Linked DNA regions of Caenorhabditis elegans. The protein of the gene in region 2 purifies or fractionates together with the protein of the main gene of each other region. This does not show direct contact. Each region holds a gene or a part of one and is shown on either strand. Other genes may lie near its edges.

The links. Proteins that work in one complex are often made in the same cells at the same time.
Region 1: the proteins of folt-2 (region 2) and lrp-1 fractionate together in Caenorhabditis elegans (co-fractionation; one large-scale study listed by BioGRID). This does not show direct contact.

Annotation. Positions count from the first base shown.
Region 1 is NC_003279.8:7,611,149-7,617,982, reverse strand, and holds the start of lrp-1 (Low-density lipoprotein receptor-related protein), read right to left. Parts: upstream 3,808-6,834; 5' UTR 3,713-3,807; coding exon 3,622-3,712; intron 1,955-3,621; coding exon 1,784-1,954; intron 1,648-1,783; coding exon 1,516-1,647; intron 1,448-1,515; coding exon 1,326-1,447; intron 1,271-1,325; coding exon 1,132-1,270; intron 1,083-1,131; coding exon 846-1,082; intron 498-845; coding exon 2-497; intron 1-1.
Region 2 is NC_003283.11:2,870,687-2,878,161, forward strand, and holds folt-2 (Folate-like transporter 2), read right to left. Parts: upstream 4,915-7,475; 5' UTR 4,793-4,914; coding exon 4,661-4,792; intron 3,835-4,660; coding exon 3,584-3,834; intron 3,362-3,583; coding exon 2,992-3,361; intron 2,596-2,991; coding exon 2,176-2,595; intron 2,131-2,175; coding exon 2,029-2,130; 3' UTR 1,779-2,028; downstream 1-1,778. Other genes in the region: srh-243 (Serpentine Receptor, class H), read left to right, coding at 1-65, 675-1,093, 1,151-1,420; F37B4.10 (C2H2-type domain-containing protein), read right to left, coding at 5,121-5,226, 5,548-5,732, 5,790-6,179, 6,595-6,753, 6,803-6,823; str-39 (Seven TM Receptor), read right to left, coding at 7,118-7,475. UniProt on the Caenorhabditis elegans protein: Unlike folt-1, does not appear to act as a folate transporter.

The sequences.
Region 1 (6,834 bases), on a different chromosome or scaffold from region 2:
CTTGATTTGTGAAATTTCTCCCTCATCATCAACATCAGCACTGAATGCAGAATGAGCAAGACGATCAGTCCAGAAGATTTTACGATCTCCATAATCAAAGTCAATACCATAAATGAATTCTCCAGAAGCCAATTTCTTGACTTCTTCATCTGGATTTTTAGGATTTAATCTGTAGAGACCCTCTCTTCTTGCAACGAAAAGTTTCATTTTATCAGCATTATTTGATACACAATATCCTCTCATTGTCAGGTTATCTTTTCCTGGACCATGTTCCATTTGAAGTGTAAAACAGTCTCCAAGACATGAGCATGTGAAGCCTGGACGATGATTTGCACATAATTGATCACAATATCCAAATTCAGCGCATTCGTTGATATCAGAACATGTTCTATGGAAACGATCATCGAGTTTATATCCACTTGGGCACGTACATTCACCTCCATGTGGTGATGGATGGCAACCTGCTTGACAACCAAGTGATGGGCACAGGTTTTGCGCTGCAATCATATACATTTTTAATCGGTAGTTTATTTAATGGGATTTCAGTGATAAAAAAGACGTTACTGATCTTTGGACGCGCGATCTTTCGGCAAATGGCATTTTATGCAATAGAAAATTAGGCAGTTAGAACTTATATTTTTGTTGAAACCGTTTTTTGAAAAAAACAAAGATAATATTGGCAATCGACTAAAAAATTGTGGAACATTTATGATGTACCTACTTCTACCTTGTACCTACCTACTTTACGCCTAATTCATACCTAGTCTTTCCATGCCTGCCTACATGCCTGCGTAGTGCCTACTTCAAGCCTACCTACTTCATTTTATTTAAATTGAAAAACTTACAACACTGTTGCTCATCAGCTCCATCAGCACAATCCTTTGATCCATCACAAAGTTTCAATTGATCAATACAATGCCCAGTACCAGGACAATTCCATTTTCCAGGTGGACATCTGTATTCTCCACATTCATCTTCATCCGAGTTATCACCACAATCATCATAGTAATCACAACGGAATTTTCGAGGTTGACAACGTTTATTCTTGCATTGGAATTCATTGGCCGTACACTTTTTGAATTCTGAAATATCATATTTTCAGAAAGAAACTTCTAATTTTCAGGTATGTACCACAAGTGTCAGGTTCGTCAGATCCATCAGCACAATCTTTCGATCCATCACAAACCCATGATTTCTGAATGCATTGAGTCTTATCAGCACAACGGAATTGATATTGGAAGCAGGCTGTGTGATTTCGGGAACAAGAATCCTGAGAAAATAATTAAGAATAACTAAAAAAATAACTAATTTAAGTTGAAAATTACCTTTTCATCACTTAAATCTCTACAATCATATTTTCCATCACATTTCTTCGACACATCAAAACATTGTCTCCCATCAGCACACATAAATACATTTTGGGAACTGCAGTCCACAGTTGAAGCAGCTGAAAATTTTAATTCAGATTATTATAAATAAGCCTTCTCAATTTGAACATTAAAGCAAAAAACTCACGACAATCCTTTTCATCTGATCCATCTGCACAATCAGTGATGTTATCACATCTTTGATATTCGGCAATACATGAGACACTGTGCCATGTGTAGGTATCACATTGCCATTGATCAGATTTACAGCCAGGATGTGCTGAAAATTGAGGAGTGGGTTCGAGAATTTAACAACTTTTATTATTTTCGCAAAAAAATTGTCGCAATTAGTCTCGTAGAAATGAATTTTTGAAACAGACCAAAAGATTTGGGAACATTTTTATATTCAAACTTACGGCAATCTTTTTCATCCTCGCCATCTGAACAATCACCAGATCCATCACATTTCCATTCGGTACGTATACATTTTCCATCGTTACATCTAAAGTCATTCTCGTTGCATACTGATGAAGCTGTGTTTACTGATGCAGATATTATTCGAGAACGAACTGATGGCGGTGAGTCAACTGCAAAAATTTTAGATTGCTTTCAGCCTACTGTCAATTTGTATTGTTCCATTTTTTTGGGGTTGCATGTTTTCGTTTAAATGTTAAACATTTTTGGCAGAAAATATTGTTCATCACATTGATTTCTAAAAAGCTCTGAAATATTCCAAAAGTTACGGTACTTAACTGTTCTGTGATATACCAAGCCTATTGACATTTAAAAATTCAAAGAGATGAACGAAATCTCTACATAAAAAATAAATACTTTTTGTTGATTTTTCTGAATCATTTTTCAAAATCTTTGCTTTACAGTTTCCAAATTATTTTAACGAGGAAGAAAAATTGCAAAATAATTTTAATTTCCGCGCACTCCTGGAACAACGACTGGAAACCCTACTATCCGATCTTTCTATCCTTTTGACATTGTAACTTAAGATTAAACATCACAAGGGCAGACCAAAAGCTGTCTAAAACTAAATCAAATGTTTGACACGGTGTAGTGGTCATCTATGGGGTTGAAGCCAGTTTTCCTCCCTTTTTTGTCACTTTTTTTGGAATGATTGTTTGAAAAACGATGGTCAAAAAAACTTGTATCATTCAGTAACCACATCAACAAACAAATACTAATCACACTTTAATTTACACCGCTTGAAAACTTCGGAGGCGAGGAAAAATATGATGACAAATTTTGTTTGAAACAAAACAAAAAGTAGAAAAAAGGAAAATATTTGAATGAATTGGAAATAATTTTTAATGTTGCTGGTAAATTTTGAAAAAGACCTGATTTGCCAAAAACCATTGTGAATTCTTTTAAATATTTTCCCTAGTGGCGCTATTCCATCTTTAAAATAAGATGTGAAAAGATCATGAAAACCTCGAAATTCTTGGAACAATTAATGTTTTTAATAGTGTATATTCCTTTGTCGAATATTATCATATATTTGTTCACTTTTGTTGGTTTGTTGTTCTAACTCTGAGACTTTTCTCTATTCCAATTGAGAGAGAGAGAGACATTATTTGTGCTATGAGGTGCGCGAGTATGCTTCTCGTGCAGACAAAAGTGCGCCGAACCTCACGAAGCAATGCTCCACATAGGTCACTCTTGAACACCTTTTGAGCTTTTCCTGTTTTTTATGCACCTTTTTTGTGAACATTTGTGCTTCTATCTTTGGTGATATGTAGAGAGGTCAAGTTTGAAATGTCTGGAGGCAGGGCCCAAATTTCAACAAAAAAAACTACGGGAAATAAATTATTTGAACGCCAGTCAAGAAATTATTGAAACTTTTCAAAATAATATTAATTTCCAGTCAAAAAATGGCAAATACTCAGTCTCTGCCATTCATAATTTTAGAAAACGGTAAATATTTTTTAAACCAATTTTACAAAAGCCCAAATCTTTCAGAAAGATTGTCACTTAACAGAAACCTTTTTAATAGAAAGTTTTTAACAATCTAAAAGAATTTAGAGAATGCAACTTTTTTTATTTTCAATCATAAAATGGTGCAGAGAATTCGGACTTACAATTTACAATTATAGAATATAAATATTTGGAGTACTACCCCTGGCAATAAGAAAATTACAGATTTTTGAAATAATAATAAAAAAATTTATCTGAAACCAGAAAAAAAAACAGAATTGTTTTTAACTTGATAGAACTTTTATCGATTTTAAATACAAAACCTTCTCACCTTGAATTGAATGAAACGTTGACTGTTGCCGCGTACTTGAATTGGCGGTTGTTACAGCCAACGCTGTGAAAATGAGCAACCTCAGAATCATTTTTTAATTATTCTCGAAGCATTTGATGGTGGTGATTAATTATGGATGATTGTGAATAAAATATATGTGATTGCGGGGGAGTTATGAGGCTGCGCCTGAAAATTAAAAACAATTTAGTTGGTGGATTCTAGAGGCAAAGGGGAAAATATATTCAAGAAGGCAGTCTGGCAAATGGGGAGATCCATAATTAATCAAAGTTTAAAAATTGATATGAATTGGTAAGCAGGTATTAGAGAGATGCTAGGCATGAAGGTACGCCTGAAGCTCACATACTTACACTGCTTAAAGTATTTCGTTTACTCACAAGTTCCAAGTTGCCTGTTTGGCTTAAACTGTTACCAAATTTTCAAAATCAATGGTCGGTTCAACTCTTGGTTGGATAAAAAAATTGAATAATATTTTGGCTATTCTTATCTGACCGTATTTTCTCGATTAGTCTTCATTTAATAACTGTTTTCCTAAATAATTGAAGGTAAACAAATCATCAATATTTTGTGAATTGACAATTTTTTGGTAAAACCCGAGAATTCGGATGTCCAAATTAGGTGATGAGATGCACGACTATTAGAGGAAATAACATATTGATTTTCTAAATTTTAAGGTTTTTCTAGTAACGAACTGAGATATAAATATCGAAGATTAGTATAAAAATAATAAAAGAACTGAATCGAAGTTAAATACGAATAAAAATGAAAACAGTTAAAATAATTTGGTTAGAAAGAGATTGGCAATAAAAGTGTTTTATTTATCACTAACTTAGGAGATAGCATGTGATTTTCTATTAGACTTGTGATATGGTATTTTGAAATTTTTGCAGAACTAGTTTGAATTAATAAACATTGTTTTCAAGATTCAGGTATTTAAAGTCATTTTCAAAAAATAACATTTTTTAAGTAGCAATAGTTTAACTGTTGATTTGAATAATAATCTTGACGCATGACAAATTAAATCAAGAAAGAAGAGATATCATATTATAGTTCGATCAATTTCAGGAGAAAAACTAAAATATTCGCCAAATCTCTGGGATTCTAGAACAATCGATGGCGGGAAAATTGAAAAGATAAAATAAGGTGATCATCACGAGAATTGTCCCCTCTTCTCACCAAATAGTCCTCCCGTCCCCATACATATCTATCCCTTGTCAACCTGTTCGGAAGGCCTGCTGACTGTGTCCGTCCCCCCATATAACTGATTAATGAATTTGATACGAGGAGGCGGAGTCAAGGAAAATGCCACGTCACATAAAGCACCATATCAGGACCATGGGACTAAAAAATACATTTTCTCTGATAGGTTCTGATTATTATTAACTCGGGAAATGGTGAATCGTCGTTTAAAGGCGCATGGAAAGCCTCAACATGAAAACTGCCGTTATTTTCCAGGTGGGGAATGAAACTATAGTAATTAATTTATTCAGTCTTCGATAAAGTCTAGAAGAATCAGCATCGAAAAACATAAAGAGCACGTTTAAAGGTCGACTGTCACTTCTGGAATTTGGTACAAAAAGTCGCGGAGCTTCATTCAGGAATTTGGATCCGGTGGGGCGTAAGTTTCACACTAGCTATTTTGATGCATTATTTTTCTTTGGAAAAACCTGAAACCGTATTTATTATCAAGACGCAAAGGGAAGAATAATTATAGAATTTTTGCCGCTGCGGATCCAAATTCTCGAATCAAGCTCCATCCAATTGTGAGTTTTTTCGACTTTGGAGTAGTTTAAAGCAAAGTCACATATTTAAAGTTAATGGTAATAAAGATATACACAGTTAAACGTAAGAATATTGTGCAGTTTACAGTAAATTTGAGACTTACAAAAATGTTTTTCAAAATCTCTCAGAACTTGAATTTTTAAAGAATGAAAACATAAAAAGCTAATTTATAAAAATAACCAACAAACCTACAGATTTGAGAATAATAGGGTCTAGGAATAATAATTTTAAATTCGAAAACTACGGAGACGACATTTTAAAGTTACAGATATTACGATTATTCAAGCCTTGCTCTAGTTTCATAAACAAAGAACTCGCATCTAGAATTATCATATAAAAAACCGAAGATGATTCTTGCCAAAATGAATATCCCATAATTACGTATATTGTGAGTTAATAAGATCAATCGCAGTATATTGAAGAAAGGTTCTAAGTTAGGACTTCTATTAGTACACTTAAAACGTGAGTACTCATCATTCTACACTGAAAGTGCATTTAAACAGTAATTATAACTTTAATTTGTACTACTTCAACTGGATTCGGAATCAGAACGATGAAGGCGTGAGAGCAAGAGACACAGAGAAAACGAAGACAGACGGGTGGGCCGAGACAAGACGGATTGAGATTGAAAACAGGTTTGGTTAAAGACGGACTGTCCGTGTCCATCGGTCAGAGATATCTGTATGTGTGTGTACAACTACAAAACAATCGACAAAACGAAGAAAAAGGGAAAAAGAAGAAGATGTTGAAAATGGGAAAGGGATCGAAATTTGGTTGTTTTTGGAAGGAGCTGGAGTTGAACGTCAAATATCCAGAGAACTTGGTTTGCGGAAGATGTTCAATGTTCGTAGCTTAACGGGAATTTTTACTGACGAACTTTTTTCATATTTTAGATATTGTTTTATCCTTATAAGCTTTCAAATAAAACATGCCCGTTCTATGGTCTGGAAGTGAACTGACTTTTTTCTTTTGGTAAAGTAATTAACTAAATTTAACACATTTTTTTGAAGGCTCTAACGTTTGCTTCATGAATACCTAATAAAATGGAAGTTAGTGATTGTAGATACTAAACTAAAACTACATTTAGAATTTATTTTAACAAAGGCGTACGGGTCCTTCAATAAATTCACAGATGACTCATTTCAAAACGAAAAAAAAACTGAAAATAACCTGGGCAATATAAGGAATTGGTGGATAGGGTCTAGATACCTAAGAGAGATGCAAAACAGAGAAGAAGAAAATAGAGGGACAAAAGGACAAATAAACCGAACGGGCGGAGAGGGCGCGGGAGGAGTGTGCTCTCCGCTTTTGTTCCGCAATGAGCTCTAAGAGGTAGACATGATTGGGGAAAAGGAGATGAAGGTGAAAGAAAAAGAAATATGAACGATGTGCTCAATGATGTTATCGGAAAAT
Region 2 (7,475 bases):
GTTCGACCTGGGCTTACTTGAATCGCCAGCAGTTACATTTTACGTAGGAGTTACGCTTGTTTTAGGTTAGTTTAATAACATTCAAAAATTTTTAATGTAATGAAGTCAGGGGAGTGCTGCGATTGCCGTTCGGCAATTTTTTCGGCCGACAAATCGGCAAAGTGCCGGTTTGCCGATTTGCTGATCTGCCAAAAATTTTGTTTTTGGCAAATTGCCAATTTTCCGTATGCCGGTTTCCCGAATTGCCGTAATTTTTTATTTTTGGCAAATTGCCGATTCACCATTTGCCGGATAATATATTTGCTGGAAGTGTTTGGCGGGATTATTTTATGAGACGGAAACAATTAAAACTGCGTTTTTTTTTTTGGAATTTTTTCCCGTTTTTTAAAAGATAATTTCATAGAATTTGCTAACTTTTCGAAACAAATGTAGGAACATTCATAAGATGCATAAAATTTTGCCGATTGAAATTGAAATTCTGAAGTTTCCAAAAAATATGCAAATATACAATTTGCCGAAAATGTTTGGGCAAAATCGCCAAATTGGCAATTTGCCGGTTTATCGATTTGCCGAATATTTCAATTCCGGCAATTTGCCGACTTGCCGATTTGCCGGAAAAAATCGTTTGCCTTTTTAAAAATATAGTTTTCCACTGAATTTACACAATTTTTCAGCTATGATTGCCGCCGTCCTCTCAATTTACGAAAATCGATTTTACAAACTGTTTGCCCATAAAACCACATGGAAACATATCAGAAAAGCCTACCTCATCGCTGTCTATACTTCAATACCTTTTATATTTCTACCACCATTCCTAACTATTCCCGAGCAAGAAACTGCTCAAAGCTTTATCTTGGCTAAACTTCCTTGTTTGCCAAAATTTACATTTAACGATGAAGAGCTCTTTGTGTTGAGCATTAGTCCTGTAATACCACTACTTTGCATTGCATTTGCATCCTTATTTTTGGCTGTTCCAATTATTACATTTTTCTCGATGACACTTTATCACTTGTTAACCAAAAAAAAGTTGGTCACACTTTCCGCAAAGACATTGGCAATTCATAGAAAATTTCTCAAGTCGGTTAGTATTCAGGTGAGTATTGCTCTGTTTTAGGTGATTATATCTTTTTTAAAAGTTAATTTTTTTCAGTCAATATCTACAGCTGGAATTGTGTTGGTACCTCTTACAACTTTTATTTGCTTTATGATGTTTTGGTACCACAACCAAAAATTGAACAATTTGGGATACTTGGTCTTGTCACTACATGGAAGTGTGTCTACGATTGTAATGATATTGGTTCACAAGCCGTATCGAGATTTTACATTTTCATTGTGTTGGAAACCGCAAAGAAATTCTCCTACTATAATAGTGACAGATAAAAGCAATCAATTACAAAATTCTTTTAACGTTGTCGTATGAATGAACGTTATTACATTAGCCAAATTCACAACTTTTATTCTTTTCTCCATCTTTTCTCAATGATTATCCCTTTTGAAATTTTCATTTTTCGCACTCCATCGACAGTCGCCTGCCGGACAACGCGTGAGAAAGTCGTGCACTCCACCCGGACAAATACTTTTAGTCTTACAACTAAACCCGAGCCGTGACGCGACACGCAACGCGCCGTAAATCTACTCCAGATCTGGCCGAGCCAAAATGGCCAGAAATCCGTGAATTTTTCTCGATATTTTTACACATACACAGCAGCCGACATTTTACGAGTCTGTTATTTTAATTAATTGAAAATGCAGAAGTTCACAGAAAATGTAGACTTTATATCGCCCTCTCTGTAGTCAAATTATACTAGAAATTGTAGAAGGTCAAAACATTTTTAAAGGGATGTACTTTAATATTTTATGTTTTGATAAAAGTTCCAATTAGATCACAAAATTTGCGAAATGTAACATTAAAAACATGTGTTTTGTTCTGATATTAGAAAAAATGAGTTCCGCGTCAAAATATTTCCTCATTTCATCCATAATAGTGTTCCCAAATTTTAGATATATTATAGTATAGTTAACAAAAAATCAATTAGTACTCGTTTTGAAAAACCGCCTGCTCGCCCAAATTCCAAAAATAATAGCAAATCCAAATGCAACGACAAGATGATAACATGAATAGACCACAAACTGAAAAAAACTGTTTCTTAAATTTTTCAGATACTCAAAACAAACCTGTGGCCTAATATCCAGCTTCTGCCAATCTATGACAACAGCGGTCAGAATAGATTGAAGAAGGAGAGCAACAAATGTGTTAATCCCGAAGAGTAGGCCAAATAGTCTAGAGTCCAGGGAAAAGGCCAGTGTAGACTGAGCAATCGTAGTGGTCAACTGGTATATGACTCTATAGAATATGTAACTCAGGTATAACACCACGATATGATGAGATTGTGACATCCAAAAAAGTAGGCCGGCTTGTCCGATGGAGCCAACAGCAAGGAGAAGGTCTCCCCATCGGTTCCAATTCACGTTGAGCTGGCGGGTGATCAGGTCAGCTGGGATGCCAAGAAGTGGGACGAGGGCTTCGGTGATACCATTATAACGATTCGCAGACTCCGGAAGTGTACCCCATAAAGTTTGGGTGTAGTTTGTGACCTGGAATTTGAGAAATATATAAGGAACTTAAAGCATAAGCTTTGAGATCAAGCTTTAAGCTTTGTGTTTAAGCTTAAACCTTCAAGCTTCCAGCAAGTCTATATAATCTTATTGAGTTGTCAAAATATCATATGTTTTCTGAACATTTTCCCAAAAAATGAAGCCGAAAGTTAGCAGAATATTAAACAAGAATTTGCCGAACTAGGCCGTTTTGACTCGGCCAAGACCGGGGTAGATTTACGGCGCGTTGCATGTCGCGTAGCGGCTCGGTTTTAATTGTAAAACTAAGTGTATTTGTCCGTGTGGAGTACACGACTTTCCCACGCACTGTTCGGCAGGCGATTGTCAATGGAGCGCGAAAAATGCAATGATAATTGCCAGAACCCCGTGATGTACCTGATAAAAAATGCAACTCGAAAGAGCCGACCAAACAGACCACTTCAAAATCAGCGGATTGCGATAAATCGCCATTAAATTATGCCGCAACCCGACAAAGAACATCCTAAGGTAATCCATATAACTTGACTGATCAACGATTTCTTTTAAATTGCCTTGAACATTATTATCTTCCAGCTTCTTCTCATAAGCTTCCTTCCACTCAACACCAGGTAATATTAATGCCAGGAATACCGCAATTGTCATGGCGACCAAACTGATAATATTAAGAGTTGAATACGATGTCCAGTTAAGGCCAATGAGGAGTTGAGCTAGAGCATAAGCTAGAAATCGACCGACGAGGAGTGCTGCTCTTGTAAAAGCGGTTGCTCTGAAAATTTAGAAATTGGAAGATCTAGGTACATACTTTTAATAGAGCACGTGGTGTCCGCGTGTCCCATTTCGGTTTCATCTATGTAGATCTACAAAAAATGCGGGAGAAGAGACGAAGAGTTCTCAACTGAATTTGCATAGTTTGGACTAAAAATACCCGCATTTTTTTTAGATCAAACCATAATGGGACGCCCCTGGCACCAAGTGTACAAGACCTTACGATTTATACTCGGTTTTTGGAACTTTCACATAAATATACGCGAAATACGCAATTTCCGTTGCAGTAGCCCATCCATAGAACACTTCAAGAACTTGCTGACTCCAGACACTCTTTCCAAATACAAATATGACCCAGCACAGAAAATAGGAAAACGCTTCGAAAACTAGCAAAGGCTTATATAAAAATACATCGGTGAGTAGGAACGCTGGTATCAGGGTGATCAAGTAGCTGTACGTCCAAATAGGGTACACCTGAAATAAATTTCAACTAATAAAAAGTTAAGCATTTTTCATGAATATTTAGAAAAATTGGAATTTTGCGAAGCGCTGTATAAAGATCGTTGGAAAAAATTCGGTGTCTACTGACGGGGGTTCGAGTAAGAAAAAAAATAGTTTTTCGAAATTTTGGAAAACTTTTTTGAATTCACTAACTTTGTTTAAACAAATGTTACATGGGTGGGCGGCGAACGATTTTTTTTTGGCAAATCGGGAAATTGGCGAATTGCCGGAATTGAATGTTTCTGGCAAATCGGCAAGTTTCAGGAATTGCAAATTTCTGGCAAATCGGCAAACCGGCAAGTTGCCGATTTGCCAATTTGCCTTGAAAACGGCAATTGCCGAACAGTTTTGGCAAATTTTGGTTTTGCACATTTTTTTAGAAATTTTCTGGATTTAATTTTCAATCGGCAAAATTGTACTCATCCTTTGAATGTTCCTACATCTATTTTTAAAAGTAAGCAAATTCTATGAAAATTTTTAAAGAAGACGGGAAAATTTTCAAAAAGACTCAGTTCTAAGGGTTTCCGTCTTATAAAAAAAATCCTCTAAACATATCCGGCAAACGTCAAGCCGGCGATTTGCCGGAATTGGAAATTTCTGGCAAATAGGCAAACCGGCAATTTTCCGAAATTAAAAATTTACGGCAAATCGGCAAACCGGCAATTTGTCGATTGCTTCTAGTAATTTCTAGAAAAAATTCCCTAATGTTTTTTTTTTAAATTTTTTAAATTTTTGTATTAATAAAAACAGTAATTTACAATTTTCATAAAATTCGACAGAGTTTTTTATTCAAAATTACCTGACTATTCAAAGTCTGCTCTGACATATTCAGAACTGTATGCTGATATTCATACATGTACGGTTCGGTGGGCCGGAACTCTTTTACAGCTCCATACATACAAATCAGGACCATCACTTTCCATTGCTCCATTGTACCGGCGAAATTTTCCAGGAATTAAAAGAAAAAACCACAAAAGTGTGAAAAAAAATGTGTTAGACTATGCTGACTTTTACTGATAAGACCGATTAATGTGCAGTTTTTCGAATGATAGTATTTTTTTTGGGAATTTAGAAATTTATACTTTTTTTTTACACAGGCGCGCCTAAATTTATGACGTTTCCCCCGAAAATTAAATCAAGGCGTACAAAAAATCCAACTGATAAAATATCACTGACCAATTGATCAGACATCGAAAAATGAACGCTGAAATTGGTAAGTGAACAAATTTTATTAAACAACAAAATCTTCATAAATTAGTTTATTGGAAAGTTCCAAGTCCTCCCTCTTGTATGATCCATTGTCTGATATCGCAAAGCTCCTTCATTAGCTGAGTTTTACCGTTTGGTCTCTCTTTGCCAAATCGTCTGAAAATTTTAAAAAAATTGAACGCAGATTTTCTCAGCAAAAAAAATGTTTAAAAGCTACAAAAATTTCGAGAAAACTTCCAAATTTGTTTAACCAAAATTTAGGCTGACGCTCGCCACTGACGCCAAGCCTACGTCAAAGCCTGAGGCTAATCCGAAGTTTAGGCTTGAGCCTAAGCTTAAGCCCAAACCTAAGTCTGAGCCTGAGCTCAAGTCTGAGCCGAAGCCGAAACCAAAGCCTAAACCTTAGCCGAAGTTCAAGCCTAAGCCTAAACTTAAGCCCTTAAGCCAAATATCCCAAATTGATAATATTAAACATACCTATACCACATTTCTGCGACCCGATCCTCGCCGGGTGTATGTTTCCAGTTACAAGTGTGGAAAGATTTTTGATACTTCAAACACACAATACAGTATACAGGTTTATGTGGTCGAACAAATCCAAGCTGCTTCATCGGTTTTAGTCGATCCAGAAATTCGTCGATGATTTCGATTAGCTTTAGGGGCTGAAAATATTTACAATTAGGAAAAGTGTTGTTTATTCAAAAAATGTTCAAACTTACAGTAACTGCTGTCTGATTTTGATACTCCTGAGCATCAAATTGAGCCTGATCGTTGCCATTTTGCAAAGATGAATCTGATCCTGCATCGTTTTCAACTAGATCGGGCGAGAAACGATTTAATGGCCCATCTGCAGTACTTGGCATGCTCACCGGCATAATATTTGCTTTGATTTGCAAACTTTCGTGATCCCTTTGCTGATCTTCAAAGCCGTTAAGCTGGAGATGCTCTGGAACTCGAGCCGGTGGACAAAAGTCCGGAAGTCGTGCGGGAACTGGTGCTACATTCACAGTTGGAACCTCAACTTCGCGGACTTCTAGAACAGGTTCACGTTTGACTGCCCGCAGAGCATTGGGATTGTGTAACGACTCGCTTGTAATTTCCATGGATTCCTGAAAAAAATTATGATCAGATTTTTTTTGAAATTGTGGAAACACTAATTTTTTTCGCTAAATAACATAATACAGTCTCAATATATCAAATACACATGTTTAAAATATTTGTAGAATTTTTCTTAATTTTTCTATTTTTTTTTCAAATTTAACAATTAGAAAGTGCCCTTGATCTACCATTTGAAACATAGTTTTAAATTTTTCAGACATTTTTCCAAAAACTGACTAAAGAGTTACAAAAAACAAAAATGTTCTTTTATTTAAAAACGTCTGAAAACAAGACAAATTATGTTTTAAATAATAAATCAAAGAATAATTAATTATCGATTTTTGAGCAAGTCGCAGCAGTTTCTTGTAGGGGGAATTTTCATTTGAGCGGGAAAAAAATAAAATTTGAATTGAAAAAAAACCATACCTCTCTGGCAAGTTCTCGAGCTCTTTTCCGGTTCACTGCTCGCCGATTCATCACAAATTCTCCATATTCCAATATCATCAAGTGATTCATCATTACGTGCATATTCATATCAAGTTCTGAGCTGAATTTGTCGCCGCATCCATTCCATCCGCATTTTATCTGTAACAAAGATTTGATTTAAAAAAAACCAAAAATAGAATATACTTACATTTTGAGAACTAGAAGACATTACTAAAAATGATGTTCCAAAAGAATCGATGGTGTTCACCCTTTTTGTAAATTTCTCTAAACACTCCACCTTCTCTCTCGCGTAGCAATGGAGCGCGTTTATGACTGGTAAGTTCTGGTAAACCATACACGGTTGTGCTCCTGAATACGCAGCCGCCTTGGAATTATGTAGTGTGACGTCACATGCGGTTTGTGATACAATTTTTGCAGGAAAACATTATAAAAATGGACAGTAGACGTTCGGCAAATATTTAAGAATTTTATTTGGAATTTTTTCAAGTATACATAAACATTTTCAAATAGTTAAACATTGCGAATTCTGAACATGATTTTTCTTGCCAAAGCAATTGCAAAGTGTAGCCAGATGTTTTCTGTACTCAGTTACAATTAACATAAACAGTATACTATCGATAAATGGGTAGATCCCCAATAATGCACAAATAACTCCAGATTTGAAAGACATCTTCAAATCAAACAACGGGCCTAGCAAAAGTGGCATTGCTGGCAAAACGAAAGTTATGGTCGGGACCGTAACTTGAACAACCAACGCCTTGAAAAATTGCTGTTGAAGTTTTCGATTGGCGACAGAAAACTTTTGCAGCTCTTTCTGCATTTGAAAATGCATTTGAAGCCCGCAATACACAATTATTAGG